Saccharomyces cerevisiae S288C: one gene and its partners. The gene in region 1 interacts genetically with each later gene. Each region holds a gene or a part of one and is shown on either strand. Other genes may lie near its edges. The genes, in order: MGA2, PPG1, FAR3 and VPS51.

Evidence for each region.
Region 2: mutations in MGA2 (region 1) and PPG1 together harm fitness more than expected from each alone (negative genetic interaction), as found in Saccharomyces cerevisiae (3 studies listed by BioGRID).
Region 3: mutations in MGA2 (region 1) and FAR3 together harm fitness more than expected from each alone (negative genetic interaction), as found in Saccharomyces cerevisiae (3 studies listed by BioGRID).
Region 4: mutations in MGA2 (region 1) and VPS51 together harm fitness less than expected from each alone (positive genetic interaction), as found in Saccharomyces cerevisiae (3 studies listed by BioGRID, with this or other methods).

Annotation. Positions count from the first base shown.
Region 1 is NC_001141.2:413,733-420,280, reverse strand, and holds MGA2 (Mga2p), read right to left. Parts: upstream 4,158-6,548; coding exon 816-4,157; downstream 1-815. Other genes in the region: LYS1 (saccharopine dehydrogenase (NAD+, L-lysine-forming)), read left to right, coding at 1-666; DAL3 (ureidoglycolate hydrolase), read left to right, coding at 4,664-5,251; malate synthase DAL7, read left to right, coding at 5,602-6,548.
Region 2 is NC_001146.8:684,031-688,350, reverse strand, and holds PPG1 (putative serine/threonine-protein kinase PPG1), read right to left. Parts: upstream 2,342-4,320; coding exon 1,235-2,341; downstream 1-1,234. Other genes in the region: ABZ1 (4-amino-4-deoxychorismate synthase), read right to left, coding at 1-716; ubiquitin-like protein HUB1, read left to right, coding at 887-1,108; mitogen-activated protein kinase kinase kinase SSK2, read left to right, coding at 2,918-4,320. UniProt on the Saccharomyces cerevisiae protein: Involved in glycogen accumulation.
Region 3 is NC_001145.3:377,198-380,974, reverse strand, and holds FAR3 (Far3p), read right to left. Parts: upstream 1,390-3,777; coding exon 775-1,389; downstream 1-774. Other genes in the region: STB2 (Stb2p), read left to right, coding at 1-629; YMR051C (gag protein), read left to right, coding at 2,650-3,777. UniProt on the Saccharomyces cerevisiae protein: Participates in the control of the reentry into the cell cycle following pheromone treatment.
Region 4 is NC_001143.9:476,346-479,873, reverse strand, and holds VPS51 (Vps51p), read right to left. Parts: upstream 1,537-3,528; coding exon 1,042-1,536; downstream 1-1,041. Other genes in the region: ALY1 (Aly1p), read right to left, coding at 1-640; IRS4 (Irs4p), read left to right, coding at 1,811-3,528.

The DNA of each region.
Region 1 (6,548 bases):
TTCAAGCAAACGCATTCTGACGATGAAGACTTGCCTGCAGTGTCGCCTTACCCCAATGAAAAGGCATTGGTTAAAGATGTTACCAAAGATTATAAAGAAGCCTTAGCCACCGGAGCCAGAAAGCCAACCGTGTTAATCATTGGTGCGCTAGGAAGATGTGGTTCCGGTGCCATCGATCTGTTGCACAAAGTTGGTATTCCAGATGCTAACATATTAAAATGGGATATCAAAGAAACTTCCCGTGGTGGTCCCTTTGACGAAATTCCACAAGCTGATATTTTTATCAATTGTATATATCTATCGAAGCCAATTGCTCCTTTCACTAACATGGAGAAACTGAATAATCCTAACAGAAGACTAAGGACCGTGGTGGACGTATCAGCAGACACTACCAACCCTCACAACCCCATCCCAATATACACTGTGGCTACTGTGTTTAACAAACCTACCGTTCTGGTACCTACCACTGCCGGGCCTAAATTATCTGTCATCTCTATTGATCACTTGCCTTCTTTGCTGCCAAGAGAAGCTTCAGAATTTTTCTCTCATGATCTCTTACCATCTTTAGAGCTCCTACCTCAAAGAAAAACTGCTCCTGTCTGGGTTAGAGCCAAGAAATTGTTCGATAGACATTGCGCTCGTGTTAAAAGATCTTCAAGATTGTAGTTTACATTTAAAGTATATACATTATCGTTACGCTGACATTTACAAGTTTAATTTTTTTTTGACTTTTTTTAAATGACTTTCTCTTCTTTTAAGTGTACTGTCTTTTCATTATACACACATATATATATATATATACGTAAAAAAGCAGACTAACTGACAATTAAATCGTTCAACATTCTTGTTGTTTGCAGGTTTGATAATTTTGACCTGAATGCAGTTTTCATCCTTTCATTTCCCAGCAAGAACTTTGCTAATGCAATTCTCAAGTACTCTGAGATTAATTCGCTTATATGATTGATGGAACTATCTTGGTTGCCAAATTTGTACATGATGAACCATGTCAAAAGTAGTAGTGTTAAGGGTATCCAGAAAAATATTAACATTTTATCATTTCGGAAGTTTTGTTTGTTTTGGAAGAATCTGTTAAACTGTTTTTTCAAAAATTCTTCCTCTTCCTCATAATCCTCTTCCTCCGAATTTTCAGAGTTTTCAATATTAGATGCTGACTGCTCCACAATACTGTCTTGATTTGTGGTTTTCAATTTATCATCTTTACCCCAAGACAACGGGAACAGATCCTCATATTTTGGTAAGTCATCATTAATTCGATGTAAAACTCTATTCCAGAGAGATGTACTACCATTATCCTCTTCGGGTTCGTTGGCGCTAGATCCAATATCAAGGAGTTCGCTTTGTTCCTCCCTGCATGCAACACCTGGTTTTTCTACTTCGTCAGTGACGAACAGATCTTCATCCCCGTCTTCTTCGAAATCACTTTGGTCGTACTCAGAGTAACTTGAATTCTCAAATAGTTGCAAGGTTGGATGCTGAATCTCCATAGAAGTGGGATTTATCATGCTTTGGCTTTCGAATAAGTTCTCATTCAAAGATTCATTGTCTAGCAGGCTTGAATTGAAACTGGATTGTGAATATTTCCTGCTAATAGAATAATTACTGTCTGTTTCTACACTATCGGTAAACTTCGTACCGTTTTGGAATTCTTCAAACAATGACAATACTTCGCTGATATAAGTGTCATTATGAACAAACTTATGGTTGTCTCTGTTATCTTGTTTTTTGTCTATTTCCTTTGAATGAATGTGGTTTGCTATGAATACTTCTCTTGCAGTTAATCCGTTGTGTGACCTCAGTGAATAATTTACTTTACAATTTAAAAGCATCTTAATAATTTTAGGGTCACCACTTATGCAAGCAAAATGTAATGGAGTTAGCCCAAAGGAATCAATATCGTTAACACGAGCACCCTTTTTAATCAATGTATACACAAGGCTTGAGTAATTTTTCAAACAGGCAAGATGTAATAAAGTTCTCCCTAATGAATCACATATGGAAATATTGGAATTTATGTTCAATGATTTTATAACTTTTTGTATCAAGACTTCATCGGAGTAAAGAACACTTGTGTTCAGATTCATACTGTGTTGGTTTGGAGAGGGACCTGTGCTTTTTGAACAGCTGTTGCCATTTGTACCGCTATCAGGAGAATCATTGCCAACAATCCTCTTCGCGATATTTCTTGCATCTTCTAACTTACCATTCATTTTTAATCCCACAATTTGCAAAGCCAATTCAATCAGTTGCCTATCAGTATCATCAACATAGGTAAATATGGCCTTTTTATTGTCATTGATCTCAATTTCTTGGGGAAGGTCATCGTTATTATTTTCATTATTCGTATCAGTAATAGAGACGAAAACTTGACCCGCGTAGGCAGCGGGAGGGAGATAAGTGACGATCGTGGTCTCACTCCAGCATTGCGTAGAAAGGGCAAGATTAGAGCCGAACTTTACAGAAAGACCATCTTTGAAGTTACAACCCAGTAATGTAACTTCGATACCACCATTGATTGGGCCTTGTGAAGGTATAACGCGATTAATTGATGGCAAATTATTGTTGTTGTTTTTCATTGAGAAATCTTGCATTGAATGTAAAGCTGGATTCATCGTATTTGTTGCACTGATTGAATTTGAAAAGGAATGCTTGAATAGGGGTTTACCAATGTCATTTTCCAAATTATTGCGTGCTCTTTTCCGTTGGTTCAATTGACTCTGTTGTTCAATATTTGTCAAAGAGATAGTACGGACGGGATTGTCATTATCGCGATGATGATAGTTAAATGATTCTGAGCCTTCTTCGCTCATAGATGTTGGTGATGGAATATGCTGATTGGGCAGAGAAAGGTTCAGTGATAAGTTATTGTTCTGAAGCAAATCTGTCTGTTGAGAGATGGAATATGGGAATGGTACGTTTTTGTCTTTCAGTGGAATATTATTCATTTGACTGTCATTATCATATGGGTTGTGTTGATAAGTATATTGAAATGGCATATTTTCGTCTTTGCTCAATTGGTTGTTATCCGTTGAATAATATTCTGTGGTAGATTCTTCTTCCGTTAGCTGCCTTCTGGACGAGGTAGTAGTGTTATTAAACTTGGTGGTATCCATATTTGCTGGTTTTCTATCCGTGATCATAATAGGTGTTGTCGTAAACTTACCCAACAGTCTATTTTGCCAATCTGTTATAGTGAATAATATGACAAAGCCATTATTTGCCTTATGGTGCCTGCAATAACAAACTAGCCTGGTAGTTAATTCAAACTCCTTAACATTATCGAAAGTTTTCATTATGGGGAAAACCTGTTTGTTATTGAACACGACTAACCTTCTATTAATATTATTACACCAGAGTAAATTGTCTGCAATACCTGATTTCCTTCTAGCGGCTCTTCTTTGTTCTCGCTTAACACACTTGGTACAAACATTTGTCGTTCTGTTGCTGACCGCACATAGAACAAACGCATTGATGTACAGAAGATTTTTCTTGAAGTCTTCTGAAAAATCCTCGATATTTTTTTTTAAATAAAACTTTTCTCTTGAAATGGAATCGCTAGGCAAGTAAAGCATGCTTTGGTTTAGTGGTGTTTCAGACGTAATTTTCACTTTCAGTTTCAGTTGATTTTCCACTCTAGATACTTGTGGCAAACCTGAGACCTCTACATCCAAAGGTAGCTGCGCTGCGTTCACTTTAAGGTAATCTAAAGGATTTATGTAAACAGATTGAATCGTCTCCTTTCTTCCAAATACAATCTCGTCATGAGCAGGGTTGCCTATATTTTTTTCATTAAAAACCTTATTTTCATGCTCGTCCTCTTCTTCCTCCTTCAAGGCTCTGTTACTTTCCATTTCCTCCTCCAGTGGAGTGGACACGTTTTGGTTGACATGAGTATTGTTACCGATACCTTCGAAAGACAACAGGTTGGGCGAATCACCCTCATCTGTCTTGATAAAATTTTGGAAATTAGCACCCTCATCAATATTAATATGCGCCATGCTATCATCCTGGTACATGGGAGACCCGTTCAGGAGGAAATCGTCCAAGAGCTGTGATTCCATTACGCTATTCGCGTGCAATTGAGATATATGAGGGTCGCTTCCAGGTGTTTCCGTTAAGAACTCACTGTTCTGCTGCATAACGAAATGTTCTGTTCGCCAAAATGACCTTCAATAAGTGCCTTTAAATGCACAATAAGGGGGGGAAGCAGGATCTAGTCTTAACGACCCCAAGAACGACTGTTGATCAAGCGCCGCTGTCCTTTTAAAAGGCTTTCGGCGGCTGTATTTTCTGGTTTAGAGCTCACCCATTTGAAAATGTTGAGTTTTTTGTCATGATCCACGATATAAAAAGAAATACGACATTTCTAGGGTAACATCAGAATGCCCTTGCTTTTATTGTTAGGGTTATTTTCAAAAGTAGAATTTTGGAAATAAGTCCTAGCCTTTTTGTAACACTAACCCTGAGACAAAGTGCCAGATAAGATAAGATGGATTGGCAAATAAATGGGGAAAGATAAGCGAGGTAAGACTGATAAGAAGCATATGCGGTCTATTCATGTGCATTCGCATATATAAGTCAGTAACTGTCATCCAATCGCTCTTGATGCTTATCTTGTAGGGCAAAAAATCTTTGAAGCAAAGATATGGTGACCGTGGTGGCGGAGACATTGACGAAAGAGTCCTTCGAGGAGTATGGGACGATAATTTCGCCAGATGAAGAGATTTCAAGGATGCAAAACCTTGAAAAAGGTGCAAACCAGGGAACAGCGATCAAATTGCTTCAAGTAAGCCAGGTAGAGAATAAATCTACCAGTAAAGTTCCCAATTGGAACCTATTCCGTTGCTTTCCACAGCCGCACCTGAATAGAGTATTCACTCAAGGCTCCAATCAGGCGATTTCTCATTCTATCAAAGTCCTCGAAAAGCATCCGTGTAGTACGCAGACGTTTGTGCCTATGGGGAGAACGTCAGCGGAAGTAGCATACTTGGTAGTAGTCGCTAAAGAAATTGGAAATAAGCCAGACTTGTCTACGTTGAGGGCTTTTACATGTTTGGGTAATCAGGCCGTTACCTATGGCTTAGGTACCTGGCATGCGCCCATGATAGTACTTGGCAAGGAAGAACATTTGGATTTTTCAGTCTTAATCTACGAAAGTCTGGACCCTGACAGGCCCGAGAAGGACTGTGTGGAAGAACACTACAGCGATGGCGACGTTTGTATTATCATCTAATTCTGCGACTGTGGGCGAAGTAAATATGTAAATGTTCATGTATTAGTAATTTCATAGGTTTACGATTATCGACATAAAATCTCCGCTGAAAGTTGCGGTGCGATAGAATACCGCGGATTTTGGAAAATTGCGTTTGCTTTTCTTATCACATAAATTGAATTTCATAAGTTTTGGCTTATCTTGGATAAGGTACATCGTGAAAGTATCACAAAGATTGGATAGTTTCGTCAATTGGTGAAGCAATAAGTATAAAATGGGGACATTTACGCATGTAGTCTTAATTCTTCACTTTCTGTGCAGTTGATATCACTTAGAGTATGTGTCATAGGCACGGTAAAGAGCACTGAACAATGGTGAAGATAAGCTTGGACAACACTGCTCTATACGCAGACATCGACACGACTCCTCAATTTGAACCTTCCAAAACTACTGTAGCTGATATTTTAACAAAAGATGCCTTAGAGTTCATTGTTTTGCTGCATAGAACTTTCAATTCAACACGGAAACAGCTTTTAGCCAACAGAAGCAATTTACAATCAAAGTTAGACTCTGGTGAATACCGATTTGATTTCTTGCCGGAAACCGAACAAATCAGGAACGATCCTACATGGCAAGGTGCTATCCCAGCCCCTGGTTTGATCAACAGATCCAGCGAGATTACTGGGCCACCATTGAGAAATATGTTAGTCAACGCTTTGAATGCTGAAGTAACGACATATATGACTGATTTCGAGGACTCTTCATCTCCAACTTGGGAGAACATGATTTACGGACAAGTTAATCTTTATGATGCCATTAGAAATCAAATCGATTTCAAGACACCAAGAAAGGAGTACAGGTTGAAGGATGACATTTCAAGACTGCCCACTTTAATTGTCAGACCTCGTGGCTGGCACATGGTGGAGAAGCACCTTTACATAGATGATGAACCGATTAGTGCTTCCATCTTCGATTTTGGTTTATATTTTTACCATAACGCTAAAGAGTTAGTTAAAATTGGTAAAGGACCTTATTTTTACTTACCAAAGATGGAGCACCATATGGAGGTAAAACTATGGAATGACATATTCTGTGTTGCACAAGATTTTATTGGAATGCCCCGCGGTACCATTAGGGCCACTGTTCTGATTGAAACTTTGCCAGCGGCCTTCCAAATGGAGGAGATTATCTATCAAATAAGAGAACATTCAAGCGGTTTGAACTGTGGTCGTTGGGACTACATATTTTCGACCATTAAAAAACTGAGAAACTTGCCTGAACACGTTTTGCCAAATAGGGATCTAGTGACTATGACTTC
Region 2 (4,320 bases), on another chromosome or scaffold:
TTTTCCCACCTTCCTGTCTTCACGTTATTTATGAAACTCAACTTGAGAAAGTTACTGACTAACAGCCCCCCCAATTCTGAACAACATGACTCCGGGTGGTACTGTACGCCAAACCATGGCTTATTTTTCGTTTGAGCACTCATCAAAAGAATACCGTTCTCATCTTCGGTTGTGCATAAGGGCAAAAGGGTGTCAATGCCTTCGGCATTGACATGCAATGAATGGTACCTCGTAGATTTGAACGTATCGGGATAACCAGAAAAAAGGCCACAAGCTCTGGCTGCATCGTTTAAATGCATTTCATACACTTGCCCATGCTTGATAGTATTTAGCTCACTGACATCAGCACCTTGAGCCAAGCACATTGCTTGGAACCCAAGACATATACCCAATATTGGAACTTCATCTAACTTTCCATTGGCATTCTCGAAAAGCTCAGATATTATACCCATATCTTGTGCACCATTGTTGGGATTCCCAGGTCCTGGGCCAACAACGATAGCATCAAAAAGCGGCAAAAGTGGCAATAGCTGATCCATAGATTGGAACGTATCACTATGTACCGTCGTCACGTGCACGGCGTTGACTCCCGGTGAGATATCAGTTTGTTGTTCAATTAGTCTCACTACATTGTAGGTGAATGAATCATAAGAGTCTATGAACAGGACATGAAGCTGTTGCTGTTGTTGCTTTGTGTCAATTGTATCGGACAGCATTCCTTTATCCCCCTTGTGAAATCTCGAAAGGTCATCGTGTAAAAGTTCTACGGGAGACTTGCTTGTTTTTATATATTCGCGGTTTTGGCTGAGAGAGATGAGGAGGGAGAGGAAAAGATTGAGAAAGAGGAGCGGTGGCAAAGCTTAGATTGCAAATAAATACTCTGAAAATGATTGAGGTAGTTGTGAATGACCGATTAGGCAAAAAAGTCAGAGTGAAGTGCCTTGCTGAAGATAGTGTAGGTGATTTCAAAAAAGTATTGTCCTTGCAAATTGGCACCCAACCAAACAAAATTGTGTTGCAGAAGGGTGGAAGTGTTTTAAAAGACCATATCTCTCTGGAAGATTATGAGGTACATGATCAGACAAATTTGGAGCTGTATTACCTGTAGAAAATGCGCTGTTTTTTTTTTTTTGATCTAAATACACAATACATACATTTGCAACCGAGAGAGATAGAATATGTAGAAATAATAAGATGGCGTTGTCTCTATAATGCTTTTCTATTGTTTAGTAAGCTACAAGAAGTAATCAACATGTCTGTTAGAAGCAGATCTGGCTTGGTATACATCTGAAAATATGTACATTTCAGGGTCCGTGGAGCCATCTGCGGAGGCAGAGTCGTCTTCGAAATAATCTGCAATCAATTTCCTGTTGGCTACCGGATTAGATATGCTATCTTCTAAGGCATTGTCGTTCATACTGTTCTCTTTCAACAGTTTATTTTCAGGTGCCTCTTCGAAAACGTTGAAGTAGAATTGATCTTTACTATACAGCTCCAGAATAGATGCTTTATTGCCGCACCGATAACAATAGTTTGGCGCCGACCATACAGTAGTAACCAATCCATCAAAATATATCTGGTAACCTTCGTTACATAACTGATGGGCTCTGTATATTCTGTTCATATCGTTCATACGTAAGAATTTCTCCACCACGCTTCTTCCGAAAGTATAACCTGCTCCACGAGGTGACACCTGGAAATGTTGTCCAGAGTTATCTGGATGATCTAACGTGGGGTTATTGTTTTCTTCCGGATCAGACCAAACCAAGTCTGCCATGGCGCCATCGTGTGGAATTTCTCGAAATCTATCAATAATCTTGATCTGATCTATGGTTTGAACATTGGGCGAGAGCCCACCATGAACACAAAAAATTTCGTCGTCGATAATACAGCATAACACTAGATAGTCAAATATATCTGTCAAATATTGCCAAACTCTTGAATTGCCACCGTACTTGTTCAAGCACTCCGTGTAGAAACCATAGCTCTGCGTGATTTGACGTGACTCGTGGTTTCCCCTCAAAAGATGAATTCTACTAGGATATCGAAGCTTAAGCACAATCAATAGCATAATTGTTTCCACACTGTACAACCCCCTGTCTACATAGTCGCCCAAGAACAGATAATTCGTATCAGGAACAGGGCCGCCTATTTGGAAGATCTCCAGCATATCGTGAAACTGTCCATGCATATCCCCCACGACTGTGACAGGGGTCTGAATGTGAATCACGTTTGACTCCTTCACTAGCATTTCCTTCAGCTTAAAGCAGAGTGCCCTTACAGTCACTTCAGGTAGTAACTGGGCCTTGTATAGCCTTTCTAAACATTCGTCCAATTCCATCTCTACTGGGCCAATTCTCTAACCAAAAATAAAAGTACACAGTGGGGATACAACTGCAATGAGTGGAACTTAATAAACAGTCACGAACTGTTCCAAATTACCTACAACTCGCTGAAAATACCGCGTTTCATACCCTGAAACAGTGGGTATTTTAGCAGTTTTGCATTATTAATTACTGCTCCATCACCCGGGAAACTCGCGCCACTTTTCGGGCGTTTCTTTGTATGGAAAGAATTGATTAATCTGAAAAGAGTGATAAAGGTGGGTAAACAGAGATAGAAAGAAGCCAAATCTGCAGATTAGAAGAGGTTAGAAGATTGTAATTGTTGCTGCCCCAGTGTGTTATTGCCTTAGAGAGTAGTACTGTTAAAGAACAGCTAAGAACGGGTGTTTTCAAAACGAATTACTGGTTTACAAAGAATTCAAAGGAAAAAAAAAGGTTCCAGCATATTTGTTAACTTTTGTGTGAGCTCCGTCTGTCCTTCAAGTTACTATTGGGCAGTTTCAAGTACAAACAGTCTGCCATTACTAAAAAGAAGAGAAGCCTTTGCGTAAACTATTTGACAGGCACAAATAATGTCGCATTCAGACTACTTCAATTATAAGCCTTACGGCGATTCCACGGAAAAGCCCAGCAGCTCCAAGATGAGGCAGTCATCTTCATCATCTTCATCTAGACTAAGGTCGGAAAGTTTAGGGCGAAATTCCAATACTACGCAGGCTCGAGTAGCGTCATCGCCCATCAGCCCAGGGCTGCATTCTACCCAGTACTTTAGATCACCAAACGCTGTTTACAGCCCTGGAGAGTCTCCATTAAATACAGTACAGCTATTCAATCGTCTTCCGGGTATACCTCAAGGTCAGTTTTTTCATCAAAATGCCATTTCTGGGTCCTCCAGCTCCTCGGCAAGATCTAGTAGACGGCCCTCGAATATTGGTCTTCCTCTACCAAAAAATCCTCAGCAGTCTCTACCGAAGTTGTCTACTCAACCTGTTCCTGTACATAAGAAAGTTGAGGCTAGTAAAACAGAGAGCGAGATTATTAAGAAGCCCGCTCCCGTGAATAGTAATCAAGATCCATTATTGACGACCCCAACGTTAGTGATATCACCAGAACTGGCTTCACTAAATACAACGAATACATCGATTATGTCAACGCCACAAAATATTACAAACCAAACTTCGAACAAACACATTCCCACCAGATCGCAACCAAATGGGTCAACAAGTTCCTCCACTTTGCAGGATATTGTCACGACAAATAGCTCGCAACGGTCTGTAGGCCACCATGGTGGAAGCACAACGAGCCTCCGAACATACAAAAAACAATATGTATTAAATGAACAGTTATATTTAAGAAAAATGAGAAACCGTGCTAATGATGATTATTACACTAGAGGTATAGTCGCATCATCCAACTTTGAAGATGACGAAGAAAATTTTAGTAACAAAGGTGAAGATGACTTAGAACTAGAAATGGATGATCTTTTAAAGGTAGAAGGTGAGGATAAAGATAACGACTTCAATTTTGGTTATAATTTTATTACGTCGAGCACAAAAAATAATGAAAATGTTGTTTCGATGAGCCTAAATTATCTAAAGGGCAAATTGGATTGGTTGAGGGATGTGAACAATGATCAACCGTGTGAAATAGAAGATGAGGAGTGGCATTCCATACTGGGGAGCGAGGATTTGCTGTCAAAATTGTTACAAAATCCTATGGTGAACAACCGATTTGAATGGCAAACAATGTTATCTAAGGTACTGAAGGGAGATATTGTGAGGAATGAAAAAACGAAGATTGCAAATCAAGGGAAAGGCCCTGGCTTCAATACTCAGTTTTCAGATGACATTTGGATTGAGTTGAAGGCATGGATGAATGGGAGGACCGTGGAAGATCAGAACAAATCTCTGAGGATTTTTAGGGATTCTACTGACTCCGTATTTCAAGAAATCATGGCCTTTAAACTAGAAGATAA
Region 3 (3,777 bases), on another chromosome or scaffold:
CATCTGTTGTTCGAATAGCTAGAGATTTGTTACGAATGAAATACGACATCCAAGCGCAGCAACACATACAAGAAATGGATGAGCATTATATGGGTAAATTAAATAAGGAGGGAACTGTTGGTCAGTACTCTAAATTCAACGAAAGATATAAAAGACTGCAAGAACTATATAAGAAGTATTCAGATGGTGCAAAAGTGTTTGAAGGGAGATTTGAAGACATTGACAATAAGCAACAACTTCTTCTCCATGAGATGCAAGAGTTAAATTCCTTATCATCTAGGTTGAAATATGATATGAGGATATTGGAAGTTCGTGTACGAGATATTGAAAGTAGTGTTGCTCAGTTTGATTCCAAATTAATTGGGTTGAAAAGCTCTCTTCAGGGACAGGGTAAAACTGGAATATGCTCTGCAATAGATCCCAAGAGTGATAAAGACGAATATGATAGATGCGTAAATGATTTGATGACCACTAACAACCCCACCTATGAAGCTCTTTGTTTAAAGATGCTGAGCCGCCGTTATTTTAAAGATTTAAAGAATGATACTGTGGGGTGGTTCAGGTGGTTATTTGGTAATAATTCTTTACACAATAATGCCAGTGAAGACGATAGAGGAATACGAGTATGATTTTTTTCGGTTCATCCTAATTTTTTTTTTTTTTCAAAAGGGATCTAAACATTTATCCGTTGTTATAAGTATATTAAAATATATAAATGCATTCAAAGGTTTGCTATTTCACGTCTGCTTACACTTTTGTTCGATCCATCGTAGGCTATTTCAGTACCTGGTACGTGTCTTGCAGGTATTCCAACTGTTTTTTAAAGCGGCTGTAATCTCTGGAATCTTTAGATATACGATCCCAATCCACTTCCTTCAAAAGTTTTTCAAACTGTTTGATAATTGAATGCAATTTTTTTTTTGTTTCTTCATTTTCTGTCTTCAATGACTCGTAATTTTGTTGAAGACTTTTGTTCCTTTCATCAAGCTTCTCTGATGAAAATGTGGCAATATTTCGTTCTCTTATTGCATTCTGTTCGTCGATAAAATTTTTAATATATGAGAAATGCTCATTTATGTTGTTAATTAGCGCAACAGCCTTTGTATTGAAGTACTCTTGTTTTTCAATCTCGTATATGAGTTTAAAATTTTCGCTGATAAGCTTCTGTGCCTCAGTGGGGGGAGATGCTTTTTGAGATGCATTATCTTTCCATGAATCTGGAATTATGTTTTTGCTCAAATTATCATAAGATATTCCTGACTGTTTGGCAAGGCGCTTTAACAATAGTTCTATTCGATCGGTCTCTTGTCTGTTAGCCCGACACTCTGCACTTAAAGCTTTTGTTAATTGAAGAAGATAATCGAAACTATCACTACCACCGCTATTCATATTTGCAAATCACTATATATACTGCTCTGTGCGAACTTATGATGGAAAAAACGAGCAAGAAGTAATAAATCACGGTTTAACTTTCTTCATTAATCGCCGAATGCTAGCCGGAGCTTTGAATGAACCTTTTATTGTGGTTATATTGTTATACAGGTGTCAATATAAACAATAAAAGTTGAAGCGGTGGCTCAATGGTAGAGCTTTCGACTCCAATTAAATCTTGGAAATTCCACGGAATAAGATTGCAATCGAAGGGTTGCAGGTTCAATTCCTGTCCGTTTCAATTTATTTTTTAGCCCTGTGCTTGAGATTATCGTCGACAATGACCAGCTATAAGCTGGCAAGATTGATGCTCTAAAACGCGGGGAATAAAATAATCAAGATGATTAATTGTTGGGATTCCATTGTTGTTAGAGCCTACAATATTAGGTACACAGAATATACTAGAACTTCTTCTCGAGGATGTAGGAATCGTCAAAAGGGAATCGATAGTTTTACGTAACGATATTACTTTATGTTCTTTCTGTTGGAATGAAGCTATAAAATATCATCTGTTCAGTAGTATTCATGCCACTCGTACATTATCATATACAGTGTAAGAAGATGATCTAAACATTGAGAAACAGTCGTAAAATTTAATGGAAGCAGAAATATAAGGATTGATAATGTACTAGGATAATGAAACATACGAAAGGGAGGGAGAAATAATTGTAATTGTATTATATAGGAGTATCGATTCCAATTTGAGGATTGGTATATCTCTCAGGGGAAATTTTATTATATTCTGTACACATAATAAAATAAAGCCCTTGCGAACAATAGAATCCCAACGGTTATCAAATTATTCACAAATTGATCACTTCCTTTTTATACTTTCCCTCTCGCTTCTTATTACATTATCAATCATTGCATTTCAGCTTCCCCTAAATCTGGTGACTGTTTCTCAATCTTTAGATCACCTTCTGTTGGAATAAAAATCCACTATCGTCTATCAACTAATAGTTATATTATCAATATATTATCATATACGGTGTTAAGATGATGACATAAGTTATGAGAAGCTGTCATCGATGTTAGAGGAAGCTGAAACGCAAGGATTGATAATGTAATAGGATCAATGAATATAAACATATAAAACGGAATGAGGAATAATCGTAATATTAGTATGTAGAAATATAGATTCCATTTTGAGGATTCCTATATCCTCGAGGAGAACTTCTAGTATATTCTGTATACCTAATATTATAGCCTTTATCAACAATGGAATCCCAACAATTATCTAATTACCCACATATATCTCATGGTAGCGCCTGTGCTTCGGTTACTTCTAAGGAAGTCCACACAAATCAAGATCCGTTAGACGTTTCAGCTTCCAAAATTCAAGAATATGATAAGGCTTCCACTAAGGCTAACTCTCAACAGACAACAACACCTGCTTCATCAGCTGTTCCAGAGAACCCCCATCATGCCTCTCCTCAACCTGCTTCAGTACCACCTCCACAGAATGGGCCGTACCCACAGCAGTGCATGATGACCCAAAACCAAGCCAATCCATCTGGTTGGTCATTTTACGGACACCCATCTATGATTCCGTATACACCTTATCAAATGTCGCCTATGTACTTTCCACCTGGGCCACAATCACAGTTTCCGCAGTATCCATCATCAGTTGGAACGCCTCTGAGCACTCCATCACCTGAGTCAGGTAATACATTTACTGATTCATCCTCAGCGGACTCTGATATGACATCCACTAAAAAATATGTCAGACCACCACCAATGTTAACCTCACCTAATGATTTTCCAAATTGGGTTAAAACATACATCAAATTTTTACAAAACTCGAATCTCGGTGGTATTATTCCGACAGTAAACGGAAAACCCGTACGTCAGATCACTGATGATGAACTCACCTTCTTGTATAACACTTTTCAAATATTTGCTCCCTCTCAATTCCTACCTACCTGGGTCAAAGACATCCTATCCGTTGATTATACGGATATCATGAAAATTCTTTCCAAAAGTATTGAAAAAATGCAATCTGATACCCAAGAGGCAAACGACATTGTGACCCTGGCAAATTTGCAATATAATGGCAGTACACCTGCAGATGCATTTGAAACAAAAGTCACAAACATTATCGACAGACTGAACAATAATGGCATTCATATCAATAACAAGGTCGCATGCCAATTAATTATGAGAGGTCTATCTGGCGAATATAAATTTTTACGCTACACACGTCATCGACATCTAAATATGACAGTCGCTGAACTGTTCTTAGATATCCATGCTATTTATGAAGAACAACAGGGATCGAGAAACAGCAAACCTAATTACAGGAGAAATCCGAGTGATGAGAAGAATGATTCTCGCAGCTATACGAAT
Region 4 (3,528 bases), on another chromosome or scaffold:
ATGGTAATGGTGTCTTTTGAATAGCCAACAGTTTACTGTCGTCATGGGAAACATCACTTGATACTGGCTTGTTACTCAAATTATCGGATGACAATGAGTTGCGCTCATAGGCATCCAGACTTAGATTGCTATTATCTTTAGGGGGTTCAGCGGTTGGTGGGATATATACTGAAGCACCGCTTTTTTCAAGTAGATAATCTTCATCGCTCATAGATGGGCGATTGGACGAATTATTTGAGCTGTGATGTTCTAAGGTGAAAGAATTCATGCCGTCATCCGCCTGATAAAATGGCCATGTGTGATTGACAACAGTTTCAACATCTGAAAATTCTTCTCTCTTCGGTGGTATACCTTCCGGCCACTCTGTTCTGGATATTCCTTTGAAGGTTATCGATATACTTTTTAATTTATTCGGTTTCAACACCCTGACGATAAGAGATCCTCGTAAGATACTGGGGGCTATTTCAGACAGTCCGTTAGTTTCAAATCCTTTTAAAAACACTATGGGTTCGGCAAGCTTTACAAAGACTTGTAGTGTTGTTGTCTGCACCAGTGGGACGGCATCAGGTGCTGCATTTATATCTTGCTCCATGGGAAACACTGGAGCTACAGTATCATTTTCTGTATTGAATTGGAGCATGTAGTCATAGAGGAACAAGCAATATTCTATGGGATTCCAGCGTATTTGTGCGGAATGGAACTTTCTGTTGGTTGTCTTTCTTGTTGCTTGTCTCTTATTTCAACGAGTTGTTCCCATTTTTGATAAGATGGGGATAGCGAAATAAGACAAAAGAGTCAATATTTGGCAATTCGCTCAAAGAGGTAAAAAGACGGCGCTATTATATATCTGCGTATATATACTACAAACAGCCGGGAATACATTTGGCAAAGTCCTCGTACGACAATAGGGCAATTGCTAGTAGTGTTAAGCAGTTTTTCAGGTGAACTTGCAAACCGAAAAAGAGGAAAAATTGGTTCACATAGTAAAATGCACTCTCTCGAAGGAAGTGTTCGGTGAAAGCCACGATATGCCGCTGGAAATTACAGTTCCTTGATTAAAGATTCTACTGTTTGCTTCAACTTGTTAATTTGGTCTTCATTGGCGTTTGTAATTTCTTTGAGAAGGTCGTTGACTTTTATTAGGTCATAATAGTTTTCGTAAATGGTATTCTTGATAGAATTGTTAGTCTCGGTTTCTTTGCCCAAGAGCTTATTGTGAATTTGTACTAGCCTCTTAAAGGGCAGGTTCTTTATCTCTTCTTCTGCATCTTCTGACCCCTCCTTGAGATCCTCTTCAGTTGCACTCAATTCGTCATCTTTCACTGGTTTCTCAGTGTTTGCTTCGGTATCTATATTCACATCTGTGACTTGCTCCTCCCCAGAATGAGCCTCGCTGGCTTTTTCCCCTATACGTGCTTCTTGACGACCTTTATTCGGTTCATTTTCCAAGTTGTAGAATTCTCTTAAGAGCAATCTTCTATCTTTGTTCAGACTGCTCACCCTCAGGGACTTTTTGTGACTAATTTGTTCTGCCATCTGTACTTAATATCCTCGTCAGATTCCGTCTCACCGCAAATACGCCTCTTCTATGCAGAGCCTCACCTATACGTACAACTTACTGCCTCTTGTTTCCACGCAGCGAAAATTCGATGATTTCTCGTATAAAGCATATCGAAGTTGAATCATCACAAAAAGGCCCATTGTGTAATGGACCCTTGCCACAACAACACTCTCGTTGCACAGGTAGAACATACTTTTAAGGCCTGGGTAGATTCATTTTTTTGACATAGGAAAAGATTAGCAGAGGAGTATGAGACTTTCGTTTGGTAAACAGCGTTATCATGGCGGTACAACAGTAACTTTGACTGAACAAGGAGCTTCAGATTCCCTTCGCGCTGCGCAAGCTATCTTCCAGAACCATTCCAATGAGGTCAGCAGTCCATGCCCTCCAGTAACGGTGAGCAGGAATCCTCAAACTAGGTTATCAGAGCCATCGCTACAAAAGTCAGGGCGGAAACAAGAACAAAAGAAGGCACGCATACGAACAAAACAGGTACCTAAGATTAAAACAACGGCGCCTAATGATGTTGAGTTGTCTAAGAAACACAGGTCAAGCCCTGCAGGTAAAGATAATGTTAGTAGTACTGCTCAAATGGCAGCTGCTTTAGCGCATTCACAATCGAAACTTAGTTCTGACAATAACTCCTCCCATTCTTCGGCATTGGATACACTAAAAGTTCTAGAAACTCCGAACTTGAATGGCTTGCTGGGCATTCATTCACGCTCAAGCTCAAGAAACGGCTCCAATGAATCACTGACGCCTGGCCAAAGAACTCCCGACAATAGATCTCAAGAGAATTTACTTACTTCCTTTAGTAGCGGTAGAAGGCTATCCTCGAGCTCTATGGAGCCTGCAACTAATAAAGACAGCAACAAAGCTCTGCCCAAACGCAGGCCGTCTCCTCCCTTGCAATCATCACTTGTCGGCAGTGGTCAGCTTCATGAAAATGAAAACCTATCATCAATTAGCATCGATTCCAGACATAGTCTCAATCCGGACACTTCAGACGTTATTTCTAATAGGTCACAAACAAGTCTATCTCAAACAATTAATCAACTCTCGTTATGTGAATCAGAGCCATCTATTGCAAGCTCAAACACTACTACTACAACGAGCAACCAGGGAAGTGGTTTGCCCAACTTGGTTCCGAACTATTCATCCGATATGAGGAAGAAGAAGCTTGTTAACAAGTTCAAAAGGAAAGTATTTGGTAGTAAGCCCAAGCACTTATCTTCACAATATGAAATGGATGCAAGCAGCGAAGAACTGGGACAACATGAACAACAACCGAGTATGAGATTTAAAACAACATTACGTAAAACCTCTGTAAGTACAAACGCAGAAAATGATCATGCATCCTCTCTACATGAGGGAAATCTGAGGTATAAGTACAATCCGTCCAACGACACGTATGATGTGTATGACGATACTGATTCTGATTCTGAATCTGATCAGAACCAGGACGCCTTGACCAAGCCACGCAAAAGAGATAGAATTAAGAGAAAGATCAGGAATTCTGCCAATAAAACTGCACATCATAGGCCTATCCACCGCACGAGAGATCGGAAATTCAATGAGGATAAACCCTGGAAATCACATACAGATATAACTTTCGTAACAGACAACGAAAGGAAGCGTTACGAAAGCATGTGGGTAAGCAACAGACACCGTCATTTGAACCTGTTGAGCTGGTGGCCCTCTATAACGGGTGATTCCGGAGCAATTAATACTTTACCCGAAGATGGATTGATATTGGGTATCATAGTCCGTGATATCTGGAAGCGGTCTAACTTGCCCAATAGTCTATTGGCAGAAATTTACACGAAGGTAGACACAAGAAAAGATGGTACTTTAGATAGGAAATCTTTTATTGTGGGTATGTGGCTGGTCGATCAGTGCCTGTATGGCAGAAAACTTCCCAATGTTGTCGAGCAATGCGTTTGGGATAGCGTAGATAGATATGCTTC